Caenorhabditis elegans: one gene and its partners. The protein of the gene in region 4 purifies or fractionates together with the protein of the main gene of each other region. This does not show direct contact. Each region holds a gene or a part of one and is shown on either strand. Other genes may lie near its edges. The genes, in order: dnpp-1, idhg-1, clec-137 and eif-2A.

Region 1 (7,931 bases), on a different chromosome or scaffold from region 4:
TCATTGTAAATATTGACGAATTTATCTCGAATATATTTATTTTTCTCTTAAAATAACTATTTTTACAGCATAAAAAGTGCCCGAAAAATGGCAACTGAAGCTGTCTACGGAAGTTGGGATAGTCCGATCACACCAGATCTCTTCGGAAAATGTAATTGCAAGTCTATCTGCGAGATGCAAGTTGTCGGTGGCAATGTCTACTGGATTGAACAGAATTCAGTAACTGGAAAACGAGAGCTTTACTCAAAACCAACGAATGGAGATACTCGTACACGCTGGGCTGATGGTCAATCTGTTCAAACTGCAATTCACGAGTACGGAGGAGGTGCTCTACATGTTCTTGCTGATGGATCAGTGCTGTTTGCTACGATCGAAGGAGTTTTCTATCAAAAGTCGGCGGATTCCGGAGTTGAGCAATTGGCAGAAGGAAATAATCGAATGTTTAGGTCAGGGATAATTTAAATGGTGTATAACTTTCAAAAATAAATAAAAAACATTTTCAGATTCTCCGACTTCTCAGCCACTGACACCCATGTATTTTGTGTTAATGAAACCCACCAAGCTGATGCAAAATTTCCCGAAAATCGACTAATCTCCATCGACCGAGCAACCAAGAATCAAAACGTCATAGCTCACGGAGCCGACTTTTACGCCTATCCAAGAGTCTCCCCGGATGGAAAAAAGCTTGTCTGGATGCAATGGAGCCTTCCAAATATGCCATGGGACGAGACATCCATCCGAATGGCTGATCTCAAAGGTGGAGAATCCAGCAATGAGGTGACGCTGAAGGACGGAACTGGAAAACAAATCAACTATTCCGAACCAACTTGGGATGGTGATGAGCTTTTAACTGTGAATGATAGCACAAACTGGTGGAATGTGTATAAATCAGCTGCAGAGCCAAATTCCGTCGAGAAGAACCTGAATCCAATTCAACGAGAGATCAGCTACCCGCTTTGGCAGCTTGGTTTCAGAAATTATGTTCTGAATAAAAAATATTTGGTGAGAATTTTAGATTGGAAATTCAAAACATTCTTCAAATATTTTAAACCTAAGTTTACAATTTTCAATATAATTAGTTGAACTAAACACAAAAATTCGAATTTTTAAATTGACCTAATGAAATTTAAATATTTCAGGTAATGAACGCAGACGGAATTTTGTATGTCCGATCGGGAGATGTTACTGTAGAGATTCCAACTCCAGGCTATACTGTATTTGGATATCTTTCACTCGACCAGAATGGTTCTGATCTTTTCGCAATTGCTTCTGGACCAAAACGAGCTTCAAGCGTTATTTCCATCGATCTCGCGAACAAAAATTTCCCATTAAAAGTTCATCGCGAATCCCGAGATTCTTCGGAAATCGACGCTCTCGAGATTTCGGAACCAGAAGAATTTGTGTTCAAATCGGATGGAGTTGATGTTTCTGGTTATTTTTATCCACCGAAAAACTGTTCATATTCTGCTCCAGCTGGAACACTTCCTCCAGTTTTACTTCTCGGACATGGTGGCCCGACGGCTCCAGCTCAGAATAATTTGGATCTTAAAAAACAGTTCTTCACGTCGAGAGGTATTGCTGTTTTTGATGTAAATTATCGAGGATCAACTGGATTTGGAACTGAATTCCGGAGAATGCTTTATAAAAATTGTGGAGTAGCTGATAGAGATGATATGTTGAATGGAGCAAAAGCACTTGTTGAGCAAGGAAAAGTGGATGCCGAAAAAGTTCTGATCACTGGAAGTTCATCTGGAGGGTAGGAATTTAATATTATAGTCATTGTTAAAGTTTTATAAATATTTTTATTCAGGTATCTGATTCTGAGCTGTCTTATCTCACCGAAAAATATCATAAAAGCAGCAGTTTCTGTGTATGGAGTTGCTGATCTATTGGCTTTAGATGAAGATACTCATAAACTGGAAAGATGTTACAATGAGATGCTTATCGGAAAATATCCTGAGCAAGCGAGCATTTACGAAGAAAGAAGTCCCATTTATCATATTGATAAAATTAGAACTCCTATTGCATTCTTGCATGGAAGGGAGGATACGGTAGTACCGATGAGCCAATCTATCACAATGTATGAGAAGATCCGTGCTAGTGGAGTTACAACTGCTCTGATGCTTTTCGATGGAGAAGGACATGGATTTAGGAATGGACAAGTGATCAAGGAAAGCACCGAAGCCACTTTCTACTTTTTGATGAAGGCCGTTGGAATTGAACCATCAATTAGTTCGAAGATCGAAATTGTTAATCCGAAGCATTAGATTTGTTTTTGTTTAAATTGTTATCTATAAAATTTCAGCTTTTAAAAAATGCATTGCTTTATTTATTTGAAAACCAAATAAATTATAGAAATTAATATTCACAGAGAAACTGAAGATTGGATATCACGACGCGATTAAATAGTAGAAATTATGATTGGGAAGGATCAACATTGATTTGCCTATTGCATGTTGGAGAGGACAGTTGACAGACGTTCGTAGAATGTAGAGTAGAGAGTGGTGGCCTGGTAGATGCTCGAAGTGTCGGCAAACTCGCTGAAATCAAGAAAATAAATGATGTGATTTAAAAGTTAAATCCCTACCGAATCGAGTGCATAGCCAACTGTGGGCATCCTACATCGACAGTCTGCAAGCCAAGTTTTGTGGCAAGAATCGGTCCAACCGTCGATCCACAAGGAGAATCATTGCGAACGACGACAACTTGAAGAGGAACTTGAGCTTCGAATGCAACTTGCTTGAGAGCAGCGTGTGTGGTTGAAGTTGTTGCATATCGTTGATTGACGTTTACTTTGACGACGACTCCACCATGGAATGCTGGACGATGGTTCTCTTCGTGTTTTGCCGAATAGTTTGGATGCGTGGCATGAGCTTGATCTGCAGAGATGAGCATGCTCTTTCCGATTGCTTCTTCGAAAGCGGTTGTTGAGCCTCCAGCAGAAAGACGGCGGAGAACGAACTCCGTGAAAGAAGAAGATGCTCCCATCGCGGAATCCGATCCTACTTCCTCGTTATCGAAGCATGCGGCAATACGAATTTGTGGGTCATTCTTGAATGACTCTCCAGTTAGAGACTCGAGAAGTCCACTTATCGCAGTGTATGTTCCAACTTGGTTATCAAGACGAGCTCCAGAAATGAATTCATCCTCCATTCCAACAATCGCAGCCTTGTTTGTATCGTAAAGGTAGAGATCCAAATCAACGATGTCTTCTGGCTGACATCCAGCTTCCTTCGCGATTAATCCGAGGAATTGGGGATGATGATTGTTGGTAATGTTTCGTGGATCGGCAAAACCAGTAGACTCGGGTTTCTGTGGTGCATTGATTCCAGCAGCAGCGAAGGTTTCCAGAATCGGGCGGAGCTCAGTTTCCGTGTTTGGTTTGAATGTTGTTCTGAGAAATAAATTGCAAAATTAGGACGATAGTGACAAATTTCAAATACCTGTCGGTCTCCAAATGAATCGCCAAATTTGGAATGAAAAGAACTGGCTTTTTCACGTCGATCAGCTTGTGTTGAAGTTTCTCTCCATTCTTGACAATAACCAATCCAGCCACCGACAAGTCACGGTCAAACCAGGTTCTCCAGATTCCACCTCCGTAAGTTGATACACCAACTTGAAGGAATTTATCAGACTTTTGGTGGGAAATTGGTTTGACACGGAGGCATGGACTGTCAGTGTGTCCCACAACAATCGAGAATCCACTCCCTGGCTTGTAAGATCCTCCAACAGCGAATGCAAGAATTGCAGAGCGGTTCTTGGTGACAAAGTATTTGCTGGTTGGCTGAATGTCCCAGTGACCCGATTCTGGAAGCTCTGTGAAACCGGCTTGTAGAAGGCGATCCTTCACTTCTTGGGTGGCTGCAATTGATATACTTTTGAATATAAAAATAAATAATAAATATTACCATGAAATGGAGTAACTGCTTTATTCAGATAGTTGATGAACTCTTGTGCAGCTTTGCGGATCTCCGGAGCACTTGGTTTCAGAGCAGCGGCCATCTAAATTAAATAAACTTATTTATGAAAAGACAAAGAAAGAATAGTGAAAACCTTTTTGGGTTGATAGCTGGTATTGGGCTCAATTTCATGTTTTGGATAGCAGCCGCACACTACTTTCAATTTTTCGGAAATACGATTTTTTCGAAACGACTTCTTTGTCATGATTCAAACTCAAAATGAATTGAGCCCAATATTTTACTACCATCGGAGTGAAAATGAAAAAAGATAAGACAAAATGTTGCATAAAATTTGAATCTGGAATGATTTTCTATAAGCGATAAACGGTTAGTTTCTACTGGGCGAAAGTTCGAGAGAAGAATATGTGGTGCTGATTATCAAAAATGCGTTATCAGTGATAGTTATCAAGGTTTCTAATAGAAAGAATCAAAAATGAAGGAAAAGATAATGGAGAAGACATGAGAAAAGCGAAAAGATCAGGAATTATTTGAGGAAAGTTAGTGAAAAAAAAATTGACAGGAAAAAAACGTCGGAAAATTTTAGAAATCGAAAAGAAGAAAAGAACAATTTTTAACGTAGAGTAGTACTGTATTCAAGGCGCAACGCTTAAATCATTTTTTGGGTCCTGGAAAGAAAACTACAATAGCTGGAAATGTTCTGAACTTTGAATATAATTATAAATTTTATATATAAAATTTTGTTCATCTTGATTTTTCAGAGCGATATATTGTTTATAAATAGAATGATTTTTACTACAAATTTTTAAATTTTTATGAATAAAAAATAAATTAAACATATAATAACATTTTCATAACTCAACAGAATGAAATATGTTTATTTCACTCCAGAAAACATTTACTTTTCTCTTGGAAGTCGTTTAATGAAATTAATACTAAAACTGCTCGATTATTATGTTTAATGCTCTTTAAATGTGTCACCAAATGGCCTAGGTTTTCAACCTAGTCCTTGCCAACATTGTGATGAGACCTTTTTTATTTAATTAATCAAATGACTCATATATTTTTCGAATAAATCAAGAATTTTCTAGAAAAATGACAGAACCGTCGGCTAGCGAAGAAGTGTCTGCCGGAGTGAATGCAGAGGTAAGAGTGTTGCATTTTAATCGATAATTCAAAGACCCTTAAATTTCAGGAGCCGCCAATACCGTCCAAAAAGATTTCGCAAGTCTCACCGAATCCAACGCTTCAATGCGAAATGTGCCAGAATTATGAAGTGAATTTGACTGCATTACAGGTGAGAATCATGGGAACACGGCAAATATGCAAATGATTTTTGTTTGTTTTGCAGGAAAACGAACGAAAGTTAAAGGAAGAAGTGAAGGCGGCAATGGAGTTGAACGAAAGATATCAATTGGATTTGAGCAATGAACGAGACTATCGAAAAGAATTGGAAAAGAAAATGAACGAATTATCGACTAATTGTTTGAATCAGGTTAACGAGGCGGCAAAGGCAAATGCCAAGTCGGAGCAGCGGCTGGACGAGCTCAGTGCGAAGGTATTTTAAATAAATAAAAAGAATAACTTTTAAAAAAGCTTAATTTCAGCACGACAAATCGATAGAAGTATTCACTGATCAATTGAATTTGGCTCGTGACAAACTGCAACAAGCCGACGATGACTTTGTTACATTAGGAAAAAAGTACAAAAAGCTTCTCGGGTCCACACGAAAATCAGCACAAGAACTTCGGTCCGAGAAAATCGATATGCCAGCTGATCTTGATCAATTACAATTTATTTGTCTCAAGAATAGGGAAGAATTGATAGAAACTCGAGCTGCAAAAGAGCACACCGAGCAGCAGCTGCAGGATGAGATCACCGTCCTGCGAGCTCAGATTCTAGAAGAAAGAGCGCACAGAGAAGATCAGGAAGTGACATTTACTGCAGAGATCAGCAGATTGCAGTCGGAATTAGGAAAGATCAACACTCGAATGGTTGTTGCATCGGAAACAATTGCAGATCAAGATTCGAATATCAGACAAATTAGAGATCTTCAAACAACTGTCGGTGAACTTGAGACGCAGGTTCAGCAGGTTCAAAATGAGAGAGCCGCTGTTGAACAGACGGCACAGAACTACAAGCAACGGTGCACAAGTCTTCAACAAGAACTCGACACATCTGAAGTTGTGCAGAGAGATTTTGTGAAATTATCTCAAAGCCTCCAAATTCAATTGGAGAAGATTCGACAGTCGGAACAAGAAGTACGATGGCAATGGGATGATGATGTAGATCAATGCTCAAATTGTGATACATCGTTTGCTAGAGTTAAAGTTAAACCTCAGTAAGTTTTTGAAAATGGAAGTTTGAATTTCTGATAAAAAATTACAAGAAAATTATTTTCTTCATTTTCAAAAATAAATTTTACACTTTTCCAATTAAAATATGTCAAACAGAAGATTTTAAAAAGAAAAAAAATATATAGTGATTATGAATCAAGCGTTCGGTACCCTTTCTTAAAACGACCTAAAATATTTTTAAAAAAAGGCTTCGAAAAATAAAAAATCACGCATAGTTTTCCAGAAATAGCAGATTTTTATAAGGAAAAATTTTTAAAAAAGTGCGAAAAATAAGAGATAGCACTATTTTACTTTTTCATGGAATATTTCAGTCACTTTTATTTTTCAAATCTTTTAGCTGTCTTCATTGTGGTCGGATATTCTGCATGAACTGCCTGAAAGACACCGTTCCAAGTGGACCAAATCATCGACCAGCCAATGTGTGCAAAGTATGTCACACACTGCTCAATCGGGATACAAAACCATTCTTTGCAACGCAGGATAAGTAATAATTCATCTGGAATGCTTATTCTGTCGCTGATTATCCACAACTCGCCCTTCCAATTTCACTTTCGCCACCTTTTCCCGATTTTATATGTGCATCATCCGTGTGCTAGAATGTCTAGTCTTTTAATTCTTGTACAATGCTTAATCTATTCTATATACGTACATATATACCAGAAATTGATCTAAAATTGTGCATTAAAATTTGTTTTATTGACTTTTATGAAATTAGAATTATTTAATTAGAATCAATGGAAAAGTTTTCGATCACAGTTTCGTCGTTGCTTGATGTCAAGATGCTGATGGATTCCAAATTTCCTGGCTTGTCAATATGCCACGTGGAATCTCCGGTTTTGTCCATAATTTCAGATCTATTCAGAAGCAGGTCAATTGAATTGGAAGTAGTGCAAGTTATGGTCAGGGTACTGTAGTTGACAGAATCGAAAGTGAATAGTCTGGAAAAAATTATAATGAGTAAATTTTTGTATGTTCATAACTTACAGAAATTTTCGATTTCTGCCAAAAAGAGTGAGTCCTGTAGAGTCAATTACTTGGTGGCAGAAGGAGCTTAAAATTTGAGGCTGAAGCTGCACTGTGCTCAGGCGGTAGTGCCAATTTTGATCCATTCCAGTACAGAAGTTGGTGCCAAAGTTTATAGAAGTTAGAGGACGAGTTCGGATGTGTGGAAGAAGTTTGGACCAGAAGCTGGAATTAAATTAAAATTTCAATAAAACTTAAATTGTGGAATTTTTCTGAAAAAAATCCTAATGTAGAATTTTCTAGTTGGAAATAAATTAAATTTCAAAAATTATGTTTTTTATAAATTTATATTTTTATCGGGGTACTGTAGTCTTTTTTTTCTGATTTTTCAATTTTATTTTCAAAAAACCTTACTGAATTCCTTTGCAAATTTGATTTTCCTCAGGAAACTTTTCATAAATCCATCCGGGTGCAAAAAGAGCAACTGACATGTGAAAAAGTTTTGCCAATGCAAATGACTGATCACAATGAAATTCTCCAACACAACCACGAGCCCATACATCAATTCCAACAAAGATCCGATCAAGAACTCCAAATTCAGCCGATCGAAGAAGTTCTTTATCTTTCCAGTTGTAGTTGAGATAGATGGCGTCACAAGCATCGTAGAATTTTCTTAAAAATATTAATATTTCAG
Region 2 (8,556 bases), on a different chromosome or scaffold from region 4:
GATTCCAGAATTTTTAAAGAAGAAAAATTTCATAACCTCAAATCAACAAAAAAACACTCACTGGATAATAATAATTCATATTCTCCCCGGTTGAATACCTCATTTTTCTTCGCTTTTCTTCTTCTGTAAATAGCCATTTGAAAAGTTTTCTTTTCTATTCCTTCTCTCGTCCCAACCCCCAACTCGATACGTGTTCTTTCATTTTTCTTGTTTTCTCAATCTCTCTCTTCAATACTTCTCTCTCTCACCCCTTCTGAACCACCCAACTTATCAGGTATCCACCACTGATCTTTTTGAAATCTTCATCGAACAAGTTTTCAACATGTACCTATAGGCACCGCGATCCCTGTCAAATATCCAATTTTTCTAATATTAATATTATTGTTATGACATAATAAACAATGCACTAAGTAATTAAAATTTCGAAAATTTTATTCACAAGAAACTGGGCAAGCAATCACACGAATTTGTTACAAGTATAATATGACACATTAACTAGACTAAATTCTTGAAACTCGAATACATATGAGGAGCTGGGTGAAAAGATTCAGAAGATATCCAAAACTTTCTGATTAATCGCCATCTTTTTGTGTTCAGTGTAAGCTGCACTGTTCTCGTGAACCTTCTCCAAATCGTATCTGAAAATTAAATTTTTAGACTCAAAAAAGGTTCGACCGAGTCATACCTGTAGTTTACCATAATTCCAAAACTGTTATTGATCCCTCTATGACTCGTATCTCCATTCCAATTCAGTCTATACAACTCTGCGCCGTTTCTAATGTGGAAGTTTGCTTAAAATAATTTTTTTTTCAATGCTTATCGATAAAATCATGCTTACCAACTGAATTTAAAGCCATTCCATTTCGTTTTGCATTACAAAGATAATGAGCACACGCGTACATCAAAATGTGCTGGATTGCATTGAGCTGCTCCTTTTTCGTTTTTTCATTGCTTATGACTTTCAGTAGAGTTTCGGTTGCTTCTACTTCGTTCATTTCCCTTTCAGATATATCAGAAATCCAATTGACAACCTTTTCATTCATAATTGAAGCTGAAAAAACATTGAAAGTAACTCAATTGTCTAAAAATGTACAGCTTACGATATTCTGAATTCCCTTTCAGATTTCTGATAAGCCAAGGTCGGAAACCAGGAATCGGAGATAATGTTGAATGAGTTGTGACTGATGGAACATCTTTTTGAAGTTTAGTGGCGACTTTCTTGATGAGCATATTTCCGAGATCAATACCAGAAAGACCTGAAAACGAATAAAACATGTAATGAATACATTTCTTAAATTTTACCAGGCTGTGTAGAAGTGATTGAATAATAAATTGCAGTTGTTTGATCTTCTTCTTTTCCAGTCGGTGCTCCTCTTTTTGTGATTTCTTGTACACTATCCGCTATCTCATCAACTAATGCCACGTGAACCATCACAAGTGGGTTCCGGGGAAGAGCTTCGTGGGAAAAATAGAAACATCTGAGAAAATGAAATTTTAGTTTTTTATTTTTATTTCATAATTACCGTCTCAACGGACCAAGACGTTTTCTGAAATCTGAAAGTCCTCTAACTGGATGAACTGCCTCATATTCGGCGACTTTCTGTAGAATATCTCCAGGAGATGACCACGTAAGTCGTTCCAATTTTAGATTTCCTAAAGAAAACCATGAAGTTAATACTTCTCTAGTGGCCAGTTCAATGTGACGGAGATATGATGTTGTAGTTTTGTCAGTTTCCCGTTTTAGAAGTGCCTGAAAATAATTATATATTCGATGCTAATTTTATTTTAATTTTAATACCAAAATATTAGCCCTCATTTCACAGACTTGCATAACTCCTCCCGGTAAATTTCCAATTGATTTTATCAAATTCACATAAGAAGCTGTTGCTGATGTTCTTACTTCCGGGTACATTTGATCATTCTGAACTTTACAATTTTTGGTCATACGATGTCAATGATAATAACCAACCTTAGAATATAGAGAAATCGCATGATTTAGGGCTTCTTTGTTTACACCATAGTTTGTGACGAGATCTACGAAAATCGATTTTCGAGTTTCTGGCGTGGAATTGGCATATAATTTGGAAAACTTCTCGCTATAAGTCTGAAAAATAAAATTTTTTCAAATAATTGGAAAATATAGTTCAACTTACGAGTAACTTATCTCCACTTGTTCGATTTGTGAGTCCGTCTAAAGTAGATAATAATGTGGAAGAATATCGAATCGAGTAAAAATGTGAATATCGACGAAGCATTATTTACATCAACCTACAAAATAATTATCTATGGGGGAAAATAACAGTTTCATAGCGCGAAACATTCTCGAAACAGTCCGGGAGCATGTAAATCAGCAAAACGAACAAATAAAAAGATAATCAAGTAACAGTTAACGTTTTAAATAGTAGTTAATAAAATAATAAAGACTTTGTAACTTCAGCCAAAACTATTTCTTGGATACCGATTTCTGTATAAGAAATAGACGCTATTTTTGGAAAAAGGCGTGCCAGGTTCTACATGAAACAACTATTTCAAAGAGTTTTCAATGAAACAAACTTTAAAGAACAATCCTAAGACATTTATTTCTACACAAAAATCACTAATAGATCACCTGATAAGCGCTTGAGACAACCAACAAAACAAAACAACGAAGCAACAACAATTCGGCGGCGAAAATCAATCAAGCGCCAACTGCTGTTCGAATTCCCGGATTTCCCCGGCAGTTGGCTTGAATTGCAATCTAGACTAGAAGTAAACACAAACCAATGAACCCTCAAATAGAGAGAAAAAGCAAAAATATTTGAAATAGATAGAAATGAACGAAAATGGACAAAATAAACATAAAAGACGAAAATGAAAATGTCGCGCGGCGGAATTGCGAGAAACACGTGCGGCGCTTGCAAATCAATCGGTCGGCTCGTTCCGCCCTCTTTTTTTGTGCATATAATTTCTGAAAATTATCTGTTTAGTGATAAATCTGAGTTTTCATAATGATAATGATGATATCGGGAAGATTTAATGTTTTTTGTTAAAGTTTTGAAATATACTATACCCTTCTATTTAAAAAATTGGCTACTATTCTGACATGCACTTTTAAAAGTACATTTTTAAACTGTTGTTTTTCTAGTAAATTCCATTTTTTTAACATTTCAGGTAAAAACAAGATGTCGAGCAACGTCCTCGGTCATACACTTCGCTCTTCGAAGAATGTCGTGCAAAAGGCGTTCGTCGCGACTTCACCGAACTCCGATATGCTCCGATTCCGTTCTCCAGTTCTTCAAACTAACACAGTAAGTAATTCATTTTTATCTGCTATTAATATCAATTTTCAGACTAAGCTGGCTCGTTATGGAGGACGTCACAACGTCACAGTCTTGCCAGGAGATGGAATTGGACCAGAAATGCTCCATCATGTCGAGAGAATCCTTTCAGCAGTTCAAGCTCCAGTAGATTTCGAAGTGGTTAATTTGACCTCAAAGGAAGATGCATCTGAAGATCTTGCTGAGGCTATCACTGCTATCAAGAGAAATGGTGTTGCTTTGAAGGTATTTTTGTTGAAAGATTAAAATCAAATTTAATTTTTTTTTTTTGAAGGGAAACATTGAAACTAAGTTTGATAACCCAAGCTTCGTTTCCCGAAACTTGGAACTTCGTCGTCAACTCAATCTTTACGCAAACGTTCTTCACTGTTCCACTATTCCAACTGTTCCAAGCAGACACACTGTAAGAATTTTTTTAAATCGATTTGTACAAATTTCAAATGAAAAGCTTTAGGGAATCGATATGGTTATCATCCGTGAGAATACTGAAGGCGAGTACTCTGGAAATGAGCACGAAGCCGTTAATGCTCCACATCCTCGTGTTGTCGAATCTTTGAAGGTTGGGATTATCAACTGAGATTTAGTCCTAATTTCAAATTTAAAGGTTGTTACTCGCGAAAAATCGGAACAAATTACTCGTTTTGCATTCCAATTCGCAAAGAAATATGGAAGAAAGAAGGTTACTGCTGTTCACAAGGCCAACATTCAAAAGTTGGGAGACGGTCTTTTCCTTAAAGTAGCCACTGATATCGCCAAGGCCGAGTATCCAGATATTGAATTCAATGCTATGATTGTCGATAATGCTTCCATGCAGTTGGTGGGTTGTTTATTTATTCATCAAAATAAATGTTCTGAAAAAAGACGAATAATTAAAAATCCTTATTTATTTCCAGGTTTCACGCCCACAACAATTCGATGTTATGTTAATGCCAAATCTCTATGGAAACATCATTTCAAACATTGCTTGTGGACTCGTCGGAGGTCCAGGACTTGTTTCTGGAATGAACATTGGAGAAGATTACGCCGTCTTTGAAACAGTTAGCATATTGATGAAAATATTAAATAACATTTGTTTTTTTCAGGGAACCCGTAACACCGGAACCACTCTTGCTGGAAAAGATCTTGCCAATCCAACTGCGTTCATCCGTGCCGCCGTTGATATGCTTCGTTTCCTCGGACTTCAATCACACGCCGATATGATCTCCGATTCATTGTTCCGTACGCTTGTTGATAAGAGAATTCACACCGCTGATATTGGAGGAACTTCTAAGGTAAGAATTTCATTAATTTTCTAAAGTTGTATATATTAAATTCTTACCTTTTCTTTATTTAAAAGTAGAGTAGAGTCGTTTTGGAATTTTGCTCAAGATGATATCCATAAATGGACCGTAATTTAAAAATTTATACAATTTTTCTAATATTTTGCAAAATTAAAAAATAAGATAAGTGTTTCTGAATTTCCGCGCGAATAAGTAGAATAGTTTTTTTGCGTTTTTCGGCTGTACTGAGTGATTACTCTTAATTTTGTTTTTTTAGTATTTGGTATAAAACACACATACATTTTCCGCAAAGAAATTTATGAATTATCGAGTTTTAGGCTAATTTTTGAAATGTTTTCGAATTTATTTCGGTTTATGAAGTTTTCTTTGCGGAAAAAATATTTGAAAAATTGCCGGAAAAGGCAAAAATGTCGGAACTCACATTTTTTATTCTTGCAAAATTGGAAAAATCATAGAAAAAATGTTATAAATTTTTTTACAGTTATTATGGTCCATTTTCGATGATTTTAAGCAAAACTTCAAAACGACTTCACTTTTTAGAACATTAACTTTATAAGTACTTTTTAAAAATGCACTACAAAACTTTAATTTAATAAATTTTCAGTCATCGGAACTCGTTCAATCAGTACTCGACTTCATCGAGAAGGAGCTCGAGGACCGCAACTACCGTGTCTAATTTCTACCTGATAATCGAAAGTTTGAAACATCCCACATAGTGGCTAGCTTTACCCTTACGTTCTTTTCCTCTGTTTTTTTTTCGATTAATCCATGATTCGTAGCATAATGCGTTACTCATTGTGCTCTTTCTCTGTTTGACCCCGTTGACTGAACGTTTCCGCCTGATGTCTCTTATCTTGTTCCTTTCTTCCTCATCTCTGTACCCACAATTTTCTTTGGATTTTAATTTTTTCTGATTGTTTGAATTTTTCTCATTTCCAGTATAGTACAATATTATAAAATTGGTTTAGTGAAATTCGATACTCTGTTAATAATGTTAATATTAGGTTACTGTCACAAAGTTAAGTACTCCCCCCACCAATATGCTCTTAACCTAATTAGTCAATACTTGAGAGCTGCTTGAAAAAAGGCGGAGTTTACTACTGTAGCTACTGTATCTTTTTGAATGCTCCCTAGCTCACTTTAATATTATTCATTTTTTGCCACAACTATTCTATTCTTTATTTCACCAGACTATCTAGGAAATATTGAACTAATACAAATTTTAGTTCAATATACCGGATGGTCTGGTGAAAGCAACATGCGTTGTAAGTTCTTTTTCAAAATCAAATGTCGATCGAACATTTCAATTCGAAATAATTTATTTCGGGTCAGAAAAATTGTACTAAAACTTGCAGAAAAAAAGTTGAAAAAAGAATTAATAAATTACAGAAAATATGCATATGAAACTGGGAGATTGAGTCTATCACAACTACATGCGTGGGTGGATACCAAAATATGAAAATTACAAGGAAAGCATATTCCATATTATACATATCATAAGTACATTGGCGGGAAAATACCAAAAGAAAATAAATAATTGAGAAAATAAGTGATTCTAAATTTGACACAACGACAACTTTGGGGGGAGGGTGAATTGCAAATCACTAAAAAGAACAAATTGTGTAATATATAAAAAGAAATATGAAAAATTCCAGTTTACAAGTCGGTTGGATCATCATGATCTTCCGGTTGGAAGGATGTATTCACAAATGATGCATTTTTGCCAGTCAGTGACGATTTTTTATCTTCTGAAACAGTAAATTTTAATTTTAAATAAAACATTAGTTTTTCTATACGGAAGGGTCGTCGTAAATTATTCTGTTTAAAAAAACCAAAAATTTCAGTTTCTTTTTGAAACAAACTTTAAAATTTTGGTCAGTTTTATTTTTTTAGCGATCGGAAATTTTTTAAAAGAAAAGATCGAAACTTTATTACTTTATTTACAAACAAATATATTGAATTTCATTAGAAAAATATGAAAATTTCTTTTAAAAATTTGATTTTTTGAAACCTAGCCTCATATTTTGGCTATTTTCATATTATCGGATATTCCAGTTTTTCCGAAATTGTTTGTTAACCTTTTTTAAAAGATTAACTCTAAAAAAGTTTTGAAAAATATAAATTATTTTCAGAAAAGTAGGGACTAGATGTATCAAAAAAGGTTGAATTTCATTACAAAAATATTAAATTTTCTTTAAAATCAAAGAACTCAAAAATCTTAAACTCTTTTTTCGTATTTCATAACTTTCTTTTTCAGAATTTTTTGTTAAAAACCGACAAAAAATCTGAAAACTGACTGGATGATTTTTTAACAACTGGAGGCATTGGAGAAGAGAACTGCAAATCATTTGCAACAATTGATGGATGTGATGATCGTAATCCAAATGTGCTCTTTTTCTTTTTCTTATTCGAAAAAGTTGTTGCTCCATCATTCGTCCATATTTCAGCTTCAGATCCATCGGTTTCAGGTTCAGAGGATCCTTTTTCTCGATATTCTTCTAATTTTAATTTATCCTTCTTCCCATCTTTTTTCTCTTTTTTCTTCTCCTTTTTCAACAATTTCTCCTTTTTACCCAAAGCCACTGGAATCGTTGCAGTCGTCTCTTGTGTTGGAGAAGCTTCTGTTGGTTTCTTTGGAAGAGGTGGTGGTGGTGGATCCGTAGGTGCGCCAACAGAAATTAAAGTTCCAATAATTGGCTCACAAGGGACTGTATCAGAGTCTCGAACAGCTTCAGGAAACGATGTATTTGACATTGATGGAATTATTGAAACAGGAGCAGCTGTGGGTAGATCCGGCTGAAAAGGGCTATTATAAAATCTCAAAAATAACTTTAAAAATGAGTTTTTATAAGCTTTTCTACATTACATTTTTTGGCGAAAGTTAGTTTTTTTTCATCGAAAAATATTAAAATTCTACAGCAACGAAAGTTTGAAACTACAGTACTATTTAAAGGCTGACGCCTTTTTTCATTTGACTCAAGTCTGGCGCTTCGAGACCGAGTACCGTAAAATTTCGCGTTATTTTTGTTACATTTTTTTTTTGATTCAAAATAAGAAGAATTTTAAAATATTTTTACAATTTTTCTGTACGAACCTTAAATCGACAAACCAACGGAGTTGCTTGTCTTGGTAATGTGGCTGGTGCAAAGACGTTTTGATGTTCAGACGCAGGTCTTTCAAATACCGTATCTCTCCGATCCGTCCACCGATCTCCAAGATCCCAGTCATCATCCAAGTTATTTTTTGCTGTGGGCAACGGAGCAGTGATGATCATTTTCGGAGTAAGCTCATCTCGGAGAAATGGATTCGTGATAGGATTCTGTGTATGCGGAGTTGATGTTCCAATGAATAGTGGTGGGTAATTAGTAGATGAAGATGAGAATGATGAGATCAGTTCGTGCTGTAATTTTTAAAGATTACAATTTTTGAATGTAATCGAAAAAGCATACATCATCGTCATCCTCCAATCCATCATCTTCTAATAAAGGACGACTTCCACCTTCTCCATCTTCACTTCCAACTGTATTTTGAGAGTCCTCGTCGTGAGAAGTGTCACCGCCTCGCTGAAAAAATCATTGAAAAACTTTTTTTGAAGAAATTAAAGTTATTGTTTTATTTTTAAAAATGTTTTAAATTGTTTAAAAATTTGTTTTTGGTGACAGGCATTTACCAATGAATTAAAAAATATTTGGTACAATTTTTTTTAATTCGGAACTTTTCTTCGATAAGAAATGTTCCAAATAAATAAATATCGTTTTTTTTTCAGATTTTTTGGCAAAAAAGGGTTCTTGCTTGCTTGGTTTTCTGGACCAAAAAATTCGACAATTGAAGTTTAGAAGTGAAAATACGATTATTTATTTGTTTATTTGGGTTTTTGAATAAATTAAATTTTGATACCAGTATATTAAGTTTTTTGGAATATTCTAGAACTTTACTAAACTGTTTCCTTTTCTTTTTTC
Region 3 (6,905 bases), 5.8 Mb from region 4:
TTCAGTAGGTAATTTAAGAAAAAACTGTAACAATCAAGGTTTATTCCCGTCCAAATTCAAAAGTTCAACGATTATCATGCAACATGGCCTTGTCCAAAAACTATGGTTTTTTTTATAATTTGTACTCAATGTATGTGTCATCAAGAGACAGTGTCTACTTTCCTTCCTTCAGATGGCCCGTCTCAAGATGATGTGAAGACTAAAAGTCAACCTCCCCTATATAGATCAAATTGTCTTCACTCGACATCTTTATTTCTCGACGACGATGAGAAGTGTTTTTCTGATTCTTATTGTTGCCTTATGCGGCGTTGTTGAAGCATCTAATGCAACAGAGAAAGAAGTTGTATGTCCGAAAGGATTCAAGTTGTATGAGAGGAAGCCGACGCAGAGGAATAAGTTCACGAAGAACTGGTGTATGAAGGTGGATTAAAGGAAATAATTTTTCAAAAGTTTAGTGGTTTATCGCGATCCCAAATTTCTGCCCGCTACTGAATTTAGAAATGAGACAAACTTAATTTTCAAATTAATTTTAATTTTTCAGGTAATAGAAAACGAGGATGTCTATGATCGACCTATCGCAAGATCAGTTTGCCTAGATTATGACGCAGTTATTACGAATGTCGAGAACCAAGAGGAGCTGGATGATATCAATGGTAAGTAGCTGCTCAATAAATAAGAGTATTGTTAATTAGAAAAATTATATGTAAAGTCCAACGGAACAATTTCCAGTTGACTAATATTTGCCTACAAGGTGACAGGCGCCTGCCTTTTGCATGCCCACTTACCTACTTTTCAATTGGCAGTTTAAATCTAATAGAAGGGTTTCGGTTGTGACGAAAATTTTTTTGTAGACATGCTGTTTTTCTACGTGGAATTTTTTCTAAATTTTACTGAAACTAAATACTTCAAATGACAAAAAAAGAAGACAGTAAGTAGGCCTGTAGGCAGACAAGTAGAATAGGGCCTACCCGCCCTTCTCGTCTCTTATTAAAAATACGATCGGCGTGATGCCATTTTACAAATTCTCGCAAGCTGAACAAACACCTGGAGGCAGCGATTAGCATTCGTACTATTTTGGAAAGCGAATTTTCTGGTTTTTTGAAAAATTTGGAAAATGTGAAAAAATAGAGCCGGCGGCTAAAACTTTTCTGAAAGTTATGTATTTACTAACATGCTTAAAGCCAATCACTGTTATCATTTATCAAACAAATTATGTAAATGCAACGTCATTGTTATTGAATGTAAATGCTAAAAGGCACAACAAAGCCGACAGAAACTGACAAACAACTTTTAGGCAAGTTAAAACTGAACACAAATTTCAGCTTTAATTCGAAAAAACAATAAACGAGTCGCAGTGGACGGAGTGTTCAATCCAAAATGCCGAGGTTTCAGCGACTGGCGAATGAGAAAGTTTGGAGGACTTTGCGCAAAAGAAAAAGAGGTTTTTGTTTCGAAAAGTGTGTTTCAAGTATCCCGATCGTTTTAGCTATTTATTCTGGAGGACGATCACACCGATCCAGCGTTCATTCTCACAAAGTGGTCTGGAGAACCGCCAACTTCATCAGACAAGTATCAGGAGAAGGGGGACTCTACGTAAGGAACCCAGTGGGATAAAAGCTTCATGTTCTAGTTTTCAGAGAAATTTTCACAATCGCTGAATGTCTATCTCTACATAATCTCCAGGCAATCAAGAATACTGGAAATTTGAAGGATTTTTTGTGAGTTTTTTTTTTGCAGGATTTTCAAACCCAAAACTAAAAAAATTTCAGGTGCGGCGAAGAACCAGACAAACAAGTCGGCGAGGTGCCATTCTTCGGAGTTCTGTGTGGATGTGCTCCAGTATAAAATTATTTAACTAGTGCCAAATGTATAAACAATTTTTGAATTTTTTGAAGATTTTTCAGAGAAATCTGTCCTCGAGGCACAATATAAATTGTTCTTACAATGTATGCCTAGTTTGAAAATGTATATCATGACTCGATTTTTTTTGTGTTATAAAAAATTTTCCCTCTAGAAAAAGTTGAAAAATAGGTAGAAAAATAAAATGCGTCATTTCCGCCCAGCCCCCGAGATACCGTATCATTTTGATGTATTCGGGGAATAATGGTTCCGCAGAAACGGAATCATTGAAGGGATGTACAGCTTTTTTATAGCTTTTGACTAGTACAAAAGCATACTGAAAGCTTCTTCTTGAACTCTTCATAACATGTTAGTTTTATTCTTACTATTCTTGGTTGTTCCGGCGGTTTCTGCAAAGGATCCAAGATGCCCAAAAAACTTTACTTTTGTCAAAAGAACACTAACTTTTAAGAATAATTTTACAAAGGGGTGGTGCTTGGGGGTACGTTATTGATAGAGACAGTACCCAGTTTTAAAATACACTTTCAAGATTTTCAATGGAACGGATGTGGGAAATCGTGACCGAGCCCGCTCAGTCTGTCTCTATCATAACGCTTCGCTGAGCAATCCAGAAAATTCACATGAACTTGAGATTGTTTCTGGTAAGTTGATCATGTTTTTTTTTAAAGACATGTCTTCAATTCAAAATCGCTAGGAAAAATATGCTTCTAAATGTGTAATTAATTTTTAGACGTTATTCGCGCACGGAACATTTCCCTCCCGATTGCACTCGACGGACAACTCTCTCCAAGATGCAAGGCCCTTATTTTCAGAGGCGAACAGAGCCAACAATATTTTGACCAAAGAACAGAGGAAGGAGATTGCAATATTAACAATCATTTGTTTGTATATGATGATATCAATACAGATACTTTATTTATCCGTTCCAAACTAGGTACTTCGGCTGGAACTAATGGAGGATACTCCAGTCAGGAGGACGGAGTAAAGTAAGTGTATGAAAATTTCTAGATTCAACGTCAAACAAGTCTAGAATTCAATTTACAGATTTCGTTTCACCAGAGATTGTAACGCATTAACAGATGCATACTATTACTTTTCTAATGGAACACATTTCTATGCGGTAGATGGACGAACTGAATTGCTCGGATGCTTTGGGGAAAAGGATAAGCAAAATAAACACGAATATAGTAGTGTTCTTTGTGGAAGATTCCCTCTCTGAGTTAATTGATCAGAAAAGACAGTTGTTAATAAATATTTTGGAGTTGTTGTTCGAATTCATCACTTGTGATTATATCAGAAAATACCAATTTTGCAACAAACATCAGTCGAGGATATGCATAATTTTCATAATAAGTATTTTTTGATAGCTAAAGATTGGAGCTAATCATATTTCAAAATTTACAGAGACAGGACTATTTTAAAAGTAAACTACCCTGTAACAAATCAAGAGTTTCGAAGCTTGAAATCAAAAAAAAACTTATTCTTGTAAATCATTTTATATTCTACCTCGGAAGCCGACAAAAGCTTGGTTTTAAAAAATCTAGCTTCAAAGTCTTGTTTTCAACCACAAATGTTTGTGTACATAAATTTTTGGATAGGTATCATAACAAGCAAGAGGGCCTTATGTTAGTCATAGGCTTGCACTCAGTTGCTCAATTTTGACGGCTAATAACTAGGTTGTGTTTTGTTTTACCAAAAATTATAAGCTGACAAAGAATGTGTTACAAATTTCTCTACAGTTTTGGTGTTAAATGTTTTTGATAAAAGGGCTGAAAATGAGGGTACTTTTGTTAGAATCTTTATTAGATCAGATATTTTTTTGTTTCAAAGCGCATGGTTTCAATATTCTTGACAACTTCTATCAACCTACGTGTTATATAAGAATTTCTTTGAATGAAATCATCCAACCTGATGAAGAAATATAATGCGTCGTTTCCGCTATCCAGCCCCGAGATACAGTATCATTTTGATGTATTCGGGGAATAATGGCTCCGCAGAATCGGAAACGCTACAGGGGGCGAACAACTGTTTTATAGCTTTTGACTAGTACAAAAGCATGCTGAAAGCCTTCTATGAAGTTCAGTATAAAATGTTAGTTCTATTCCTACTATTTTTGGCAGTCCCAGAATTTTCTGCGAAGGATCCAAGATGCCCGGGAAACTTTACGTATTTCAAGAGAACACCGACGGCAAAAAATAACTTTACAAAGGGATGGTGCTTGGGGGTAAGTTGTTCATATCAATGACACCTAAATAGTTTTAAAATGATATTTCAAGATTTTCAATGAAACGGATCTGGGAAATCGCGACCGAGCCCGTTCAGTATGTATCTATTACAATGCGTCGTTGAGTATTCCAGAAAATTCACACGAACTCGAAGTGATTTCTAGTAAGTTTTTGAGGATTTTTTTATTGCTGCATGCGGAAAAATGTAAAATTTCCAGAGACTGCTAGCTTGAGAAACATTTCCGTACCAATCGCTCTTGATGGACAACTCTCTCCAAGATGCAAATTCGCAATTTACAAAGGACAAGTAAAGGGTGCAAAACGATTTAATCAAACTTCTGAAGAAGGAATTTGCAATATTAAATATGAATTGTTCATATATGATGATATTAATACGGATACTTCATTCATTCGCACAAAGCTAGGTGTTTCGGCAGGATCAAACGTAAGAAGTGTACAAGCTGATGATGATATCGAGTAAGTTTTGAAAATCGACTTTCCTATTTGCATCCAACATTTCATTTTCAGGTATCGCAGTACAGCAGATTGTACCGTTTTGGAAAAAGGATCGTATCACTATTCTAATGGAACACTAAAAGATGGGCACACTAATTTGATGGATTGTATGGGACAGCTAGCTGGCTCCAAGAGGCTACCAGAAAAAAATGTCACCGCCGTTCTTTGTGGCCGATTGCCGTTCTAAGTAAATGTATTCTATCATTTCTGGAAAGATTAATTTTCAATATTTAATAAATATTATATTTCCGAAATCTTTCTGATATTTCTTATTACCTTAGCTGATTGAAAAGATAAGGTACACCCAATTTGTTTCCGCAAGTGAACTTCAGGTTATTCTTAGGCGACGAAAATCCCTGTGCGGGTTTACAATTAAATCATTTTCGCAACGAAACATTTCCTTTTACAGAGTTTTGACAAGTGTGTATACCATTTTTGTAAACTAAAAGTCAATTAATTCATCTTAACTTTCGTCTCGAACTTTTCGTTTTTAAGTTCCATCTTGTTGATAATACGGCCTAAAAATTGTAAAAAATTTCTCAAAGCTTCCTATTTTCTGTGTCAAGAAAAATCGGAGAGCTCTACATTATCTCTTTTTTGGCTTCCGGAAAACTTTTAGAGTAAATTTATAATGTATAATTTATGATAAACCTCAAGAAAATAGGTACAACAAGCATCTGCTACGTCCAAATCAAAATGTTTAGAAGAATAAATACTACGGTAGAGCATTTTGTGGGTGTTGTTGAACATCACGCTTTTGTTGAAACGATCAAATGCTGTCGGAAAATAATGGCTCCGCATGGCTTAGTCACAATTTTATCGATTTCAATAGGTACAAAACCCCGCCGAAACTTTTCAAAACTGACAGAAAAATGTTCGTTTTCTTTTTGCTATTTTTGACTGCGGTTTTCGCAAAGGATCCACAATGCCCAGAAGGGTTTTCTCATGTCAAGAGAGTCCCAACTGCAAGGAACAATCATACAAAGGACTGGTGTTTGGGCGTAAGTTCCAAGTTTTGGGTTTTGTGTTCATAATGCTTTATGACCATATTTCAGGTTTTCCAATTCAAGAACATGGGAAACCGAGACCGAGCTCGATCATTTTGCAGTTATGTGAACGCTTCATTGACCATTCCAGAAAATGAGCACGAGATTCAAGTGTTTTCTGGTAGGGATATTTTTCAATAAAAACATTTTCAGTGTTGTAATCTTCAAAAACTTTCAGAAATCGCCCGAGCTCATGGAATTGAAGCTCCTTATGCTGTTGACGGTCAAATTTCTCCAAAATGCAACGGTCGTATTAATAAAGTCGAAATCATACTTCGTCATCGATTCAACAGTACAGAAGAAAAAGGAGATTGTAATATCAAGAATAATCTATTTTTGTTCGATGATGTCAATAGTGACACTACATTCATGCTGAGCCATTACAAACGTCGACTTCCAGCTGCTTATATGGTTCATCAAGCTGACAATGGTCCAATGTAAATTAGACATAATTATCAAATAGCGTGAAATCATAAAAAATCAAATATTACAGATTCCGATTCGCCGCTGATTGCATTGTTCTAAAATCTGGAATTGTCAAGGCTAATGGCACAGAAACAAGAAAGAATTGGGGAAGTTTGGAGTTTTGTGTGGGAAAAAATGCAGTGCAGGCTTATACAGACGATGAAAAACCATATGGAAACGACGTGGAAGCAGTTTTGTGTGGAAGACATCCACTTTAATTGTTTTGAGAAACTTATAAGAAATGTGGGTCCTAGAAATGTGATGCACCTTGTCTTTAGTTTTGATTGAAAATTGTCAGCTGAAAAAATAAATTTCAATTTTTTCTATAGTTTTGTAACTTAGTATTAAAAAAATAACATTGAAATTCCCTACAAAACAGTGAAAACTGTAAAAAACAAAAGCGAATAAAAAAAATCTCGAGTCTCGTTTCCCCCATTATACATAAGTACATCAATCCCTATCCTTTCCAACATAGAAAAAAAACACGACACGGTCTATATGATGCGAATATTCGGTAATACGCGATTTAGAGATGATGGAGGAAATAGATGGGACTGGATTTTTTGTCAATTTTTTTTTACAGTGATGATGATTAACTTTTTATGGTTGGGAGGTTTTTCACTGTATTATACATATATATGAATGGTTAAGCAGGAAATGGGGGTTAAAGTAAGTGTGAAAGGAGAAGCCTAGTGACATCAGCAACAGAAGATGCCTGCCGGTGTGCCTTCAAGGCAATCTAGGCCTACCTCGTGCCAACAAACTCCTGAAGTAGGCCAGACAGGTTCGAGGT
Region 4 (8,358 bases):
AATTACTTTCGAACGATATCTCTGGACATGCACAGAACGAAAAAGGTTTGGGATAACTTTTCAAGTCTTAACTTTAAGTTTGAGTTTCAGAAAAGCCTTCTCTGCGATTTTCAACGAACGTGGACGAATTGTTACTGTGATATTTGTGTGTTTCTTCTCGGTGGCAATTCGGATTCCTGTGCTTTATGCGATGAAGGTGAGATTATACTTTGAAAAGTTAATCAATAAATTGAATTTTCCAGGTCAAAACGTTTCCTCTGTGTGACGACTATTTCAGAAGTGAATCATTAGACGGAACACCTTTCGCCGCCACAGAAGCATACGAAATATACGATTTCCATGTTATCACTGCAATTCAGATGATGTTTCCGTTTGTGGTACTATTGCTACTGAATCTAACAATTATCAAGAGATTGGTAGCTGAGAAAAGGGAAAATGTACGTTATTGTTTTAACTGTCTTATTAAAATGGAAATATACTGAACCATTTTTTTTCAGATGTACCCTATTCTCCGAGGTGCTGGAACTACAACAGAAGTGAAAAAAGCGTCATTTGTTCAGGGAAATCTTCCAGAAAACTATGTGCTTCTGCAAGTTGCCGCTGACGTCATCAAGGAATCATTGATCCACAGGTGGGGTTGTCATAAACGTTCTATTAAAGAATTGTCCCAAAATACTCTTTAAAAATTGAATCCCCATCAATAAAGTACAGTTCTGCGGCGGTATCGTCTGAAATCGTGGAAAACCAGAATGTGGATGATATCACTGATTCAGTAGACGTTGAACTTCCACGTCATCGGCCATCAATTTTTAACACTTTCGTACTGGCACTCAGGGAGTGAGTCACGGAATGCGTAATAAATTCCGGAATATATCGTAGCAAATCCACTTCTAACTTCTTCTATTCACTACTGTGTAATTTTATCATATTATACGTTCATCGCTTGCAGATGGTCAGAAAACGCGCCCCATGGTTCCAAATGGATAAAGAATTCGAAAATTTAATAATAAGTATTATGGGGACGTAAAAAAATTGGGCCTCGTTAGGTATTTTGGGGAAAACCGTAAATTCGAACGTTTTCCAATAGTGTATCCGGTTTGGCTTTTTAATAATATGTGTTCCGTTATTTTTAATGATTAAAAAAATGTAATGATTTTTTAAAGATGCATGAAAACTTTCATTAAGTTGTGAATTTTATTTTTTTTTTAAATTTCAACATACCTAAACTATTAAAAACAACGGAAAACATACCAAAAAATACGAAAAAATGATTGAAAACGTTTGAATTAACGATTTTCCGGCCAAATACCTAACGAGACCCATAGCTTGGGGGCGGGGCGTTCTCCATTGACCGTGGAGCGCGCTAATATGTCGATCAGTTTTTTTCTGCGGTCCTATAATAATATTTATGTGAAACCAAGAGCTGGCGCTTTGAACTTCTACATATTCGATGTTAAAACATGTCAACTTCTTCTAGAAGCACATTTGAGCTCACTGGAGCTCATTTCTTTTCCAAAATTAATTATTTTTGTTCCAGATCATCCCGAAGTAAGCGATCACAGCTTCGAAATGCAATTTACACGATGTTGGCTATTGTCACTTCATATTTGGTTTGTAATGGCGTTCATCTTTTTCTGACGATCCTTGAGAGGTTCGATCCATCTTATCTTTACGAATCCACGGATCGAATGCAGTCGAGCACATTTTATATCGGTTAGTTTTTAAAAACTTCTATTATAATAATAAAATACTTTTCCATTTCAGTTTTGTCTGATACTGTCTCCATCTGCTATATGGCATCCTCGGCAATTCGTATTTTCATCTACGCCAAGTGTAATCCAAAGTTGCGACAGGAGATCACCGACTACATCAAACGAGAGAAGAGCATCGAGACGAACAGCTCGTAACTTCCTTCATTTCATCACTTTTTTGTTACTCTTATTACGGGAGTTCATATTATGACAATAATAATTAAAGAAATAAACAATCATAATAAGAGATTGGGGAGAGAAAAAGATAGGCTAAAAGAATATGGAAGACAATTGATAAATAGATATTCAAAACAACTGGGGAAAAATTTCAGGTTTCACTCGAATGTATAAAGTCTAAAACTCATAGGAAACAGGTGAGTCAATCGGGAGAAAAGAGAAACAAAAAAATGATAATCGAGGGAAAAACACAGAAAAAAAGAACACAATTTTAAATGGTCAGTTTGGAGAGCTCTGAGAGATATTCGTTTTCACGTTGGATCTTCTCCATTTGGTTTGGTTGAAGTTGATCGCCATTCGCCACTCGTTGCTGGAAATTATTTGTTTGAAAATATTTTTGAAACTTCGCACAACTCACCTTGAGAACTTTAATCTCCTCAACCTTCTTTTTGAGTTGGAATGCTTTCCTTTCTTGTTCCGATTGCTGTGGTCGGAATGGTTGTGGAGCATTTCCGTTTCCATTAGCACGTGGCTGTGCAGGCCGTTGATTCTGGTTTCCTGGCGTAGGTGCTGCAGCTGATGGTGGTCCAGCTGATCCTCCACCTCCTAGCGGTTTCCTGAGATGAGGTGGAATGTAGGCACCAGCCTGACGAACTGCTCCTGCTGGAACATTATTCAGTGGATGAGATGCATCCTTCTTTCGAATTGGCAAGCCAGCGGCCATTTTGTCCGTCTTGGTTAGCTCTTTGATGGCAAACTTGTTGTATCCAGTCATTGGACGCCAGCGAACTTCCCACAGCTCTTTTGGAGACTCGAAGTGAGTTTCAGCAAGCATTCGACCCGTGTAATGCCAGAAGCGGTAACTGTTATCTATACGAAGCCTTGGAGCAGTGGTGCATGTAACAAAATGTTGACCATCTGGAGCCCAATCGAAAAGAGTTGTATTTGGCACCTCGATCGAAATAATCTCCTTTTTCGTCTCCACATCCCAAAACTCCATTTTTCCCTTCGCGATATTTCCAAATCCACAAATCAGAACAATATTTCCAAATGCATTATAGAAAACATCGTTTCGTGGACCTTCAATCGTGTCGAAAATTGGAACTCCTCTCGGATTATAGAATGTCACTTTGGCTGGCATATAACCATAGCAAACAGCGAATTCTCGGCCGTTGGGATTCCACTTTGCAGCGTAAATTGGACCTTTCTTCTCCAAAGGAACAACTACAGACTCTCCTGATTGAATGTTGATAAGGTATAGCTGAAATTAATTAAATAATTATTGGGGAGATTTGAGAAAATTTTAAAACGAACACTTTGCTCTCCATAATAAGATTGATTTGTCTTATCCACTTCAACAGAAGCAAGAATGAGAAGTGATTGACCACGCTGATTCCATGTCATTACGGCTTTGTCAGATTTGAAGAACGTACGATTGCCGACGACTGGGAACGATTCGGAGACTCGATGAACTCGCACGCGAGCTGGAGTGGATCCAACGGCAGGGACATAGACAGCCACGTGATTCGGAGCAGGACCTGGACTCAATGCGAAGTTGGTCGCACCCTTCTCGACAAGCTTGTGGTCGTAACGGTCTGAAAAGATAAGTTTTATGATAACGGTCGTAATAATAATATCAATTTTCAGAAAATTCATGAAATTCATACCGAAAGACATGTTTGTATAAAAGAAGACTTCACTGCCAACCATTCTTGCAGCCAACGACTCATCATCCGAAAACTGAGGCTCCCACGATGCTTCTTTTGGAGCTGAGAACGTTGATACGTGCTTTCCATCCGCAAGACTGTAGACTCGCACATTTGGTTCTGGCTTTTGGTTCTCTGCAGTCTAAAGTTGAAAAAAAGGTTTTCAAACTGAATTAAATAAAAAATTATTCAAACCTTTGGTCCGTAAACTGCCCATGGCTCGAATGTGAGCAGGAAATTGTCTTTTGGTGAGAACAAGATCTTCCGAGTTCTTTTCAGCTCCACACAAAGAATCTCCTTGTTTGTTGCGATCTCGAATACCCGTGTTCTAAAAAAAAAACATTATTTAACTATATATTCCTCTCCTGAAACTTCTTCTTACACTTGATTATCGCAATAGGCGAACAGCTGTCCGTTGTTGCTGTAAGCGAACACATTGCAAGCGACGTCTCTCGAGGTTCTAAAAAATACATTTAATTATTGATTCCTGATAATTGTTCTGAATTACGTACTTATTCTGCTCAAAAACTGTCACCGCGTCTTTGCCCAGCCCGCGCTTCAGGTAGAAGCCTTCACTTGATCGAACTGAAACAAATTTCGCAATTTTACGGCCTATTCAAAGCTGTCTAAAGTAAACTCACCGGCGTACACCAGGTTATCACCCATTTTATTGATCTGAATCAATGTTTGAGAAAGTCTGAAAAAAGAAAATGTCTTAAATTTCTCAGGAAGTAGGAGAAAATTAGAAAAGCTCGAGGAAATGACGAAAAAATTCGAATCACGAGATGGCGTCGTATTTGGCGCCGGCATACATTTGGAAATGCAGAATTTCGCGCACCGTATCCAGAATAAATTATTCTAGCGGGAAAAGATTAAATAAAATTGAATATTGGGAGAAACAGTTAAAAAAAAAAGAAATATTCCTCGAAAAATAAAAAATAATTCGATTTTTTAATTCGATGCAGTTTTAGTGCATCGTTTGCGTCACGGTGTTTGCACACAAAGTACAGTAGGCAGAAATAGTTTACAAACTTGCAAAGACTTTGTTTAATCGATTAATTGCATAATATTAAATTGCAGAGTTAAATTTAAATTTAAACTAAAGCTACACAATATATAAATATTTCCGGAATTTCGTCGTATTTCGATCGACAAAAATCTGAGTATTTATGGAAGCCACTGTCTTTTCTCCAAATATTTCGAATTTCATTGCTACGCTGAATGAAAATAAGAAATTGAATAGAGACAACGCGTAGGCGGAATTGAAATTGGTCTCTTGAAAATTTATTTCGAGAAGTTATTTTCAAGGATGAAAAAAACAATATTACCCAGGCACTGAATTTGGCTTTTTTCGCCAAAAAAAACACGGTACCCGGTCTCGAAGCGACAATTTTTTTAATGCAAAAGGGTGTGCGTCTTTAAAGAGTACTGTAATTTCAAAAACAAATTTTGCTGTGGAATTTTCATCGATTTTTTAACATTTATGTGTTTTTGAATTATAAAAAAGTTTTTTTGTAAATAATTAAATGTATTTACAACGAAAAACTATAAAAAATCGAGGAGAATTCTAGAGTAACGAAAGTTTGTAATTATAGTACTCTTTTGAGGTCATAATCGGAAAGTAGACCCCTTTTAATTCAAAAAAACTCGAATATAACATTATCGAGCGTTAGAAAATACGGTCCCCGGTCTTGCCACGCGCTCTCTTGGTAAAATACAAACGGATCTGCGCCTTTAAAGAGTACTGTAATTTAAAATTTTTGTTGCTGCGGATTTTTCATCGATTTTTCATAGTTTCTCGTTAAAAAATTTTCATAGAAATTTATAAAAAACTAATTTCAAACAAATTAATTGTTACAAATCGCAAGAAAAACTACGGAAAATTAATTAAAATTTGGATTTTCGTGGTATTTCGAGACACGATAGATTGTTATATTTGCAACGAAATAGTAGATGTGCCATATTGAGAAGCATCCGATTTACGGTAATTCTGCTTTTTCTGAAAATATATGTGCTTCTTTGTAAGCGTTCCCTCGCCAACGGCAGAATTGAATTCTTACTGCTCACCTACTCATTTTCAGTTTACTCTTTACCAAGTCTTTCTAAAAGTATAAGACCATGATCCTTTTCTAATCTTATACTAAGTCAGTACCGGCTTACCTACTTCTTCCGAAACTTCCGTATTTTTCAAGTCTCAAAACCTCGAAAAACTGTTCAAAAAATTCGTTACTTGCTCATCCCAGGTGTTTAATCTATGATAACAACACGTGGATTATCGTAAGAGTACAGTCTCTCATCTGAGTGTCTCATCATCACGAGGATGTCTTAAAAGTTGATCATTTCCTATTCAGATACATCAGGAAGCGTCCAAGTACATGAAATGAACGAATTATAGTTGGCGGCCAATCCGGAAATATTAGGTTTATATTAATAGATTTTGTGATTGGTACGTTGTGATTTTTGGTTGCATTAATATATGTAATTTAAACCCTCTCGAAAAACCAAATAGCCACATTTTTCTGGGCAAAAATTCCCGCATTTTTTGTAGGTCAAACCGAAATGGGGCAGCCTGACACTATGTGGAAACATTGTTTTGCAAGAATTTTTTGCAAGAATTTCAGATATTCAGACGATTTTCATTTCAATGCAAAGTCCTCTTTGACGCTAGTCATCCTTCATGATCCTTGGAATAATGTTTTTATTCTCTGAAAACTTTTACATGTTTTGAAGCTTTTATGCTCTTATCCTTTCACAAGACCAGACTTTCTGAAGTCTGTTGTCAGATTATATAAGATCAGACTTTGGGGCAAAGTGGGTGTAATAGACCATTGGAACATATTTCTTGCGCTATTTTTGGAAAAGTGAATTACTCAAATATACGTTCAGATCTGATTCATTAATTTAAAACAGCGGAACAAATTTCTAGGGACGAGCAAACAGGATGATCCGAAAGACGATAGATATGACGAGTTATTTTTTCATATATCAATCAGCAATTTTCAAAATTACTATCAGTCCGGTTTATCCGGTTTCAATGTCTAAATATATAATGAATTTTTAATGAGTGATTCCGTGCACATACCGGTTCACTACCTGTCCCATATTAATAATACGGCAATTCTAGAAACTTTAGACGGAATTTGAAGAAAATCAACTTTTCTATCACCCAAATGCCAAATTTCAGTCTTCATTTTTTGGCAGTTTCACAATTTTTATTTACGCCAACTCAAATGTTCTGATCTATTCAATGAAACATTTTGAACTTTGTGCTCAAGTTTAGTTATCATCATTTTGAATAAAAGCGGATATTGCAGAAAAACTGTTACCGGATGTTGTGCACCTCTGCCAATGAGAATCACAAAAAACAATGGCTATTGTTATAGTTGGCATTTGCGTAGGTTTGCAGGAAATTTTAGTTTTTTCACATGAGTCAGCCACAGTTTGGTAGAAGTCTGATCAACATCTCGGAACTTCCGAGAACACTTTGTTTGCTAGATTTCAATGGCAAAAGCAATTGTTACCAAAAAATAATTACAAAAAAACTATTTTTCCCTCATAAATATTTCAAACCGTCAAAAACTAGATTGGAAAATGCCAAAATAAAATCTAAATTGGCAAAAAAATGTCTAAATTGTTTTAAATTTTTAGAGAATTTCAGACAAGATTTGGGAAAATTAGCAAATTTTCGAAAATTTGAACTTTTTAAGAGACTTAACGAATTGTTTAGTGTTTAGAGCTTTACAATGTTTGAATATTAATAATTGAAACAGTTTGTTTTTGTGATCCAAAATGAAAATTCATGGCCCCGCTTTTTTGAGTCGGTTTTTGAGTTTCGTTTTCGTATTTTGAGAAAATATTTTCAAGATATAAAAAGAGAAGGGTAAGTAGTGCAGTATTCAATTCCATTACCAAAAACAACTACAAGCACAACACAAATATATTATGTTGTCCAGAAATCGTTGCTCTTAAATTTTGAAGTCGAGTTTGTTTTTTAAGAAGTTGTATTAATAAAACCAAACTGGTTGTCAAAAGATGCCTCAATACTACCTTGTACGCACGAATATTGTTAAATGTTTGTTAGGGAACTATTTGTTCTTCTAGTGTTGAACGATGTTACAAATATTTAAATAATTTTAAATCAAATATTTTAAAAAAATTCAGAGATTTGAACTTATTTGTTGCTACTCCTTTTTTAGCTAGAAGTTTGTTAGTTTTCAATTAATCTAGCGCCCCTTTTTTTTGTCTCAGAAGTGGAAAAGTTTCAAAGCAACTCCTCCTTTTCTATCGTTCTGCGTAGATTTAGGTTTTTCAAACCCTTCTCGTAGAAACTGTTTTCAAATTGGGTAAGAAACTTTATAAAACCTAGGCAAGGTTGCATTTGTCTCTCCAAAACTATTTAGAAAATTTCCCAATTGTTAACAATTAATAATTTTGGGCCAAGATTATTCAAGACCAATATAGATCATTCCAAACTAATTTGTTGACTGACAAGTCTTCCTAGACACAACACGGGACCCCGGTCTCCTCAGAATTTGCAACGAGTACTTGTTTCAATAGTGTGACAACTCTTAATTTTCATCTCATCTTGTTCATAGTAGACAACAATTTGTTCTTATTTCACCAAGCCAATTCCGAAGAATTCGCCTTCTTCTTCTTCTCCAGAATGATCAATTGGTGTGACCGGGGGATGAGATGACGTGACGGAGGATGAAGAGGTGGTAGTA

What was found.
Region 1: the proteins of eif-2A (region 4) and dnpp-1 fractionate together in Caenorhabditis elegans (co-fractionation; one large-scale study listed by BioGRID). This does not show direct contact.
Region 2: the proteins of eif-2A (region 4) and idhg-1 fractionate together in Caenorhabditis elegans (co-fractionation; one large-scale study listed by BioGRID). This does not show direct contact.
Region 3: the proteins of eif-2A (region 4) and clec-137 fractionate together in Caenorhabditis elegans (co-fractionation; one large-scale study listed by BioGRID). This does not show direct contact.

What each region holds. Positions count from the first base shown.
Region 1 is NC_003281.10:5,859,545-5,867,475, forward strand, and holds dnpp-1 (Aspartyl aminopeptidase), read right to left. Parts: upstream 4,260-7,931; 5' UTR 4,165-4,259; coding exon 4,054-4,164; intron 4,003-4,053; coding exon 3,909-4,002; intron 3,862-3,908; coding exon 3,444-3,861; intron 3,395-3,443; coding exon 2,588-3,394; intron 2,541-2,587; coding exon 2,447-2,540; 3' UTR 2,298-2,446; downstream 1-2,297. Other genes in the region: dpf-4 (Peptidase S9 prolyl oligopeptidase catalytic domain-containing protein), read left to right, coding at 88-446, 504-1,002, 1,140-1,756, 1,811-2,267; rabn-5 (FYVE-type domain-containing protein), read left to right, coding at 5,013-5,063, 5,113-5,214, 5,269-5,475, 5,525-6,258, 6,612-6,762; eng-1 (mannosyl-glycoprotein endo-beta-N-acetylglucosaminidase), read right to left, coding at 6,996-7,212, 7,259-7,462, 7,652-7,909. UniProt on the Caenorhabditis elegans protein: Aminopeptidase with specificity towards an acidic amino acid at the N-terminus. Plays a role in membrane trafficking and is specifically involved in the recycling and degradation of endocytic cargo.
Region 2 is NC_003281.10:4,565,863-4,574,418, forward strand, and holds idhg-1 (Isocitrate dehydrogenase [NAD] subunit, mitochondrial), read left to right. Parts: upstream 1-3,150; 5' UTR 3,151-3,161; coding exon 3,162-3,287; intron 3,288-3,329; coding exon 3,330-3,542; intron 3,543-3,591; coding exon 3,592-3,720; intron 3,721-3,771; coding exon 3,772-3,876; intron 3,877-3,921; coding exon 3,922-4,134; intron 4,135-4,210; coding exon 4,211-4,354; intron 4,355-4,399; coding exon 4,400-4,588; intron 4,589-5,201; coding exon 5,202-5,273; 3' UTR 5,274-6,003; downstream 6,004-8,556. Other genes in the region: pan-1 (P-granule-associated novel protein 1), read left to right, coding at 1-17; mlcd-1 (Malonyl-CoA decarboxylase, mitochondrial), read right to left, coding at 548-638, 686-791, 839-1,051, 1,101-1,256, 1,303-1,478, 1,524-1,750, 1,799-1,921, 1,970-2,104 and 1 more; Serine/threonine-protein kinase sel-5, read right to left, coding at 6,254-6,345, 6,895-7,393, 7,692-7,997, 8,047-8,160.
Region 3 is NC_003280.10:4,615,102-4,622,006, reverse strand, and holds clec-137 (C-type LECtin), read left to right. Parts: upstream 1-3,916; coding exon 3,917-4,084; intron 4,085-4,136; coding exon 4,137-4,248; intron 4,249-4,303; coding exon 4,304-4,562; intron 4,563-4,613; coding exon 4,614-4,788; 3' UTR 4,789-4,855; downstream 4,856-6,905. Other genes in the region: clec-139 (C-type lectin domain-containing protein), read left to right, coding at 266-421, 542-653, 1,323-1,441, 1,487-1,593, 1,638-1,718, 1,770-1,845; clec-138 (C-type LECtin), read left to right, coding at 2,207-2,341, 2,390-2,501, 2,591-2,846, 2,905-3,079; clec-136 (C-type lectin domain-containing protein), read left to right, coding at 5,474-5,602, 5,657-5,768, 5,826-6,084, 6,141-6,330.
Region 4 is NC_003280.10:10,412,779-10,421,136, reverse strand, and holds eif-2A (Eukaryotic translation initiation factor 2A), read right to left. Parts: upstream 4,332-8,358; 5' UTR 4,301-4,331; coding exon 4,276-4,300; intron 4,220-4,275; coding exon 4,147-4,219; intron 4,095-4,146; coding exon 4,017-4,094; intron 3,963-4,016; coding exon 3,830-3,962; intron 3,777-3,829; coding exon 3,596-3,776; intron 3,524-3,595; coding exon 3,243-3,523; intron 3,190-3,242; coding exon 2,347-3,189; intron 2,299-2,346; coding exon 2,200-2,298; 3' UTR 1,908-2,199; downstream 1-1,907. Other genes in the region: frpr-21 (G-protein coupled receptors family 1 profile domain-containing protein), read left to right, coding at 1-45, 91-196, 243-437, 498-631, 712-837, 1,538-1,713, 1,765-1,907. UniProt on the Caenorhabditis elegans protein: Functions in the early steps of protein synthesis of a small number of specific mRNAs. Acts by directing the binding of methionyl-tRNAi to 40S ribosomal subunits.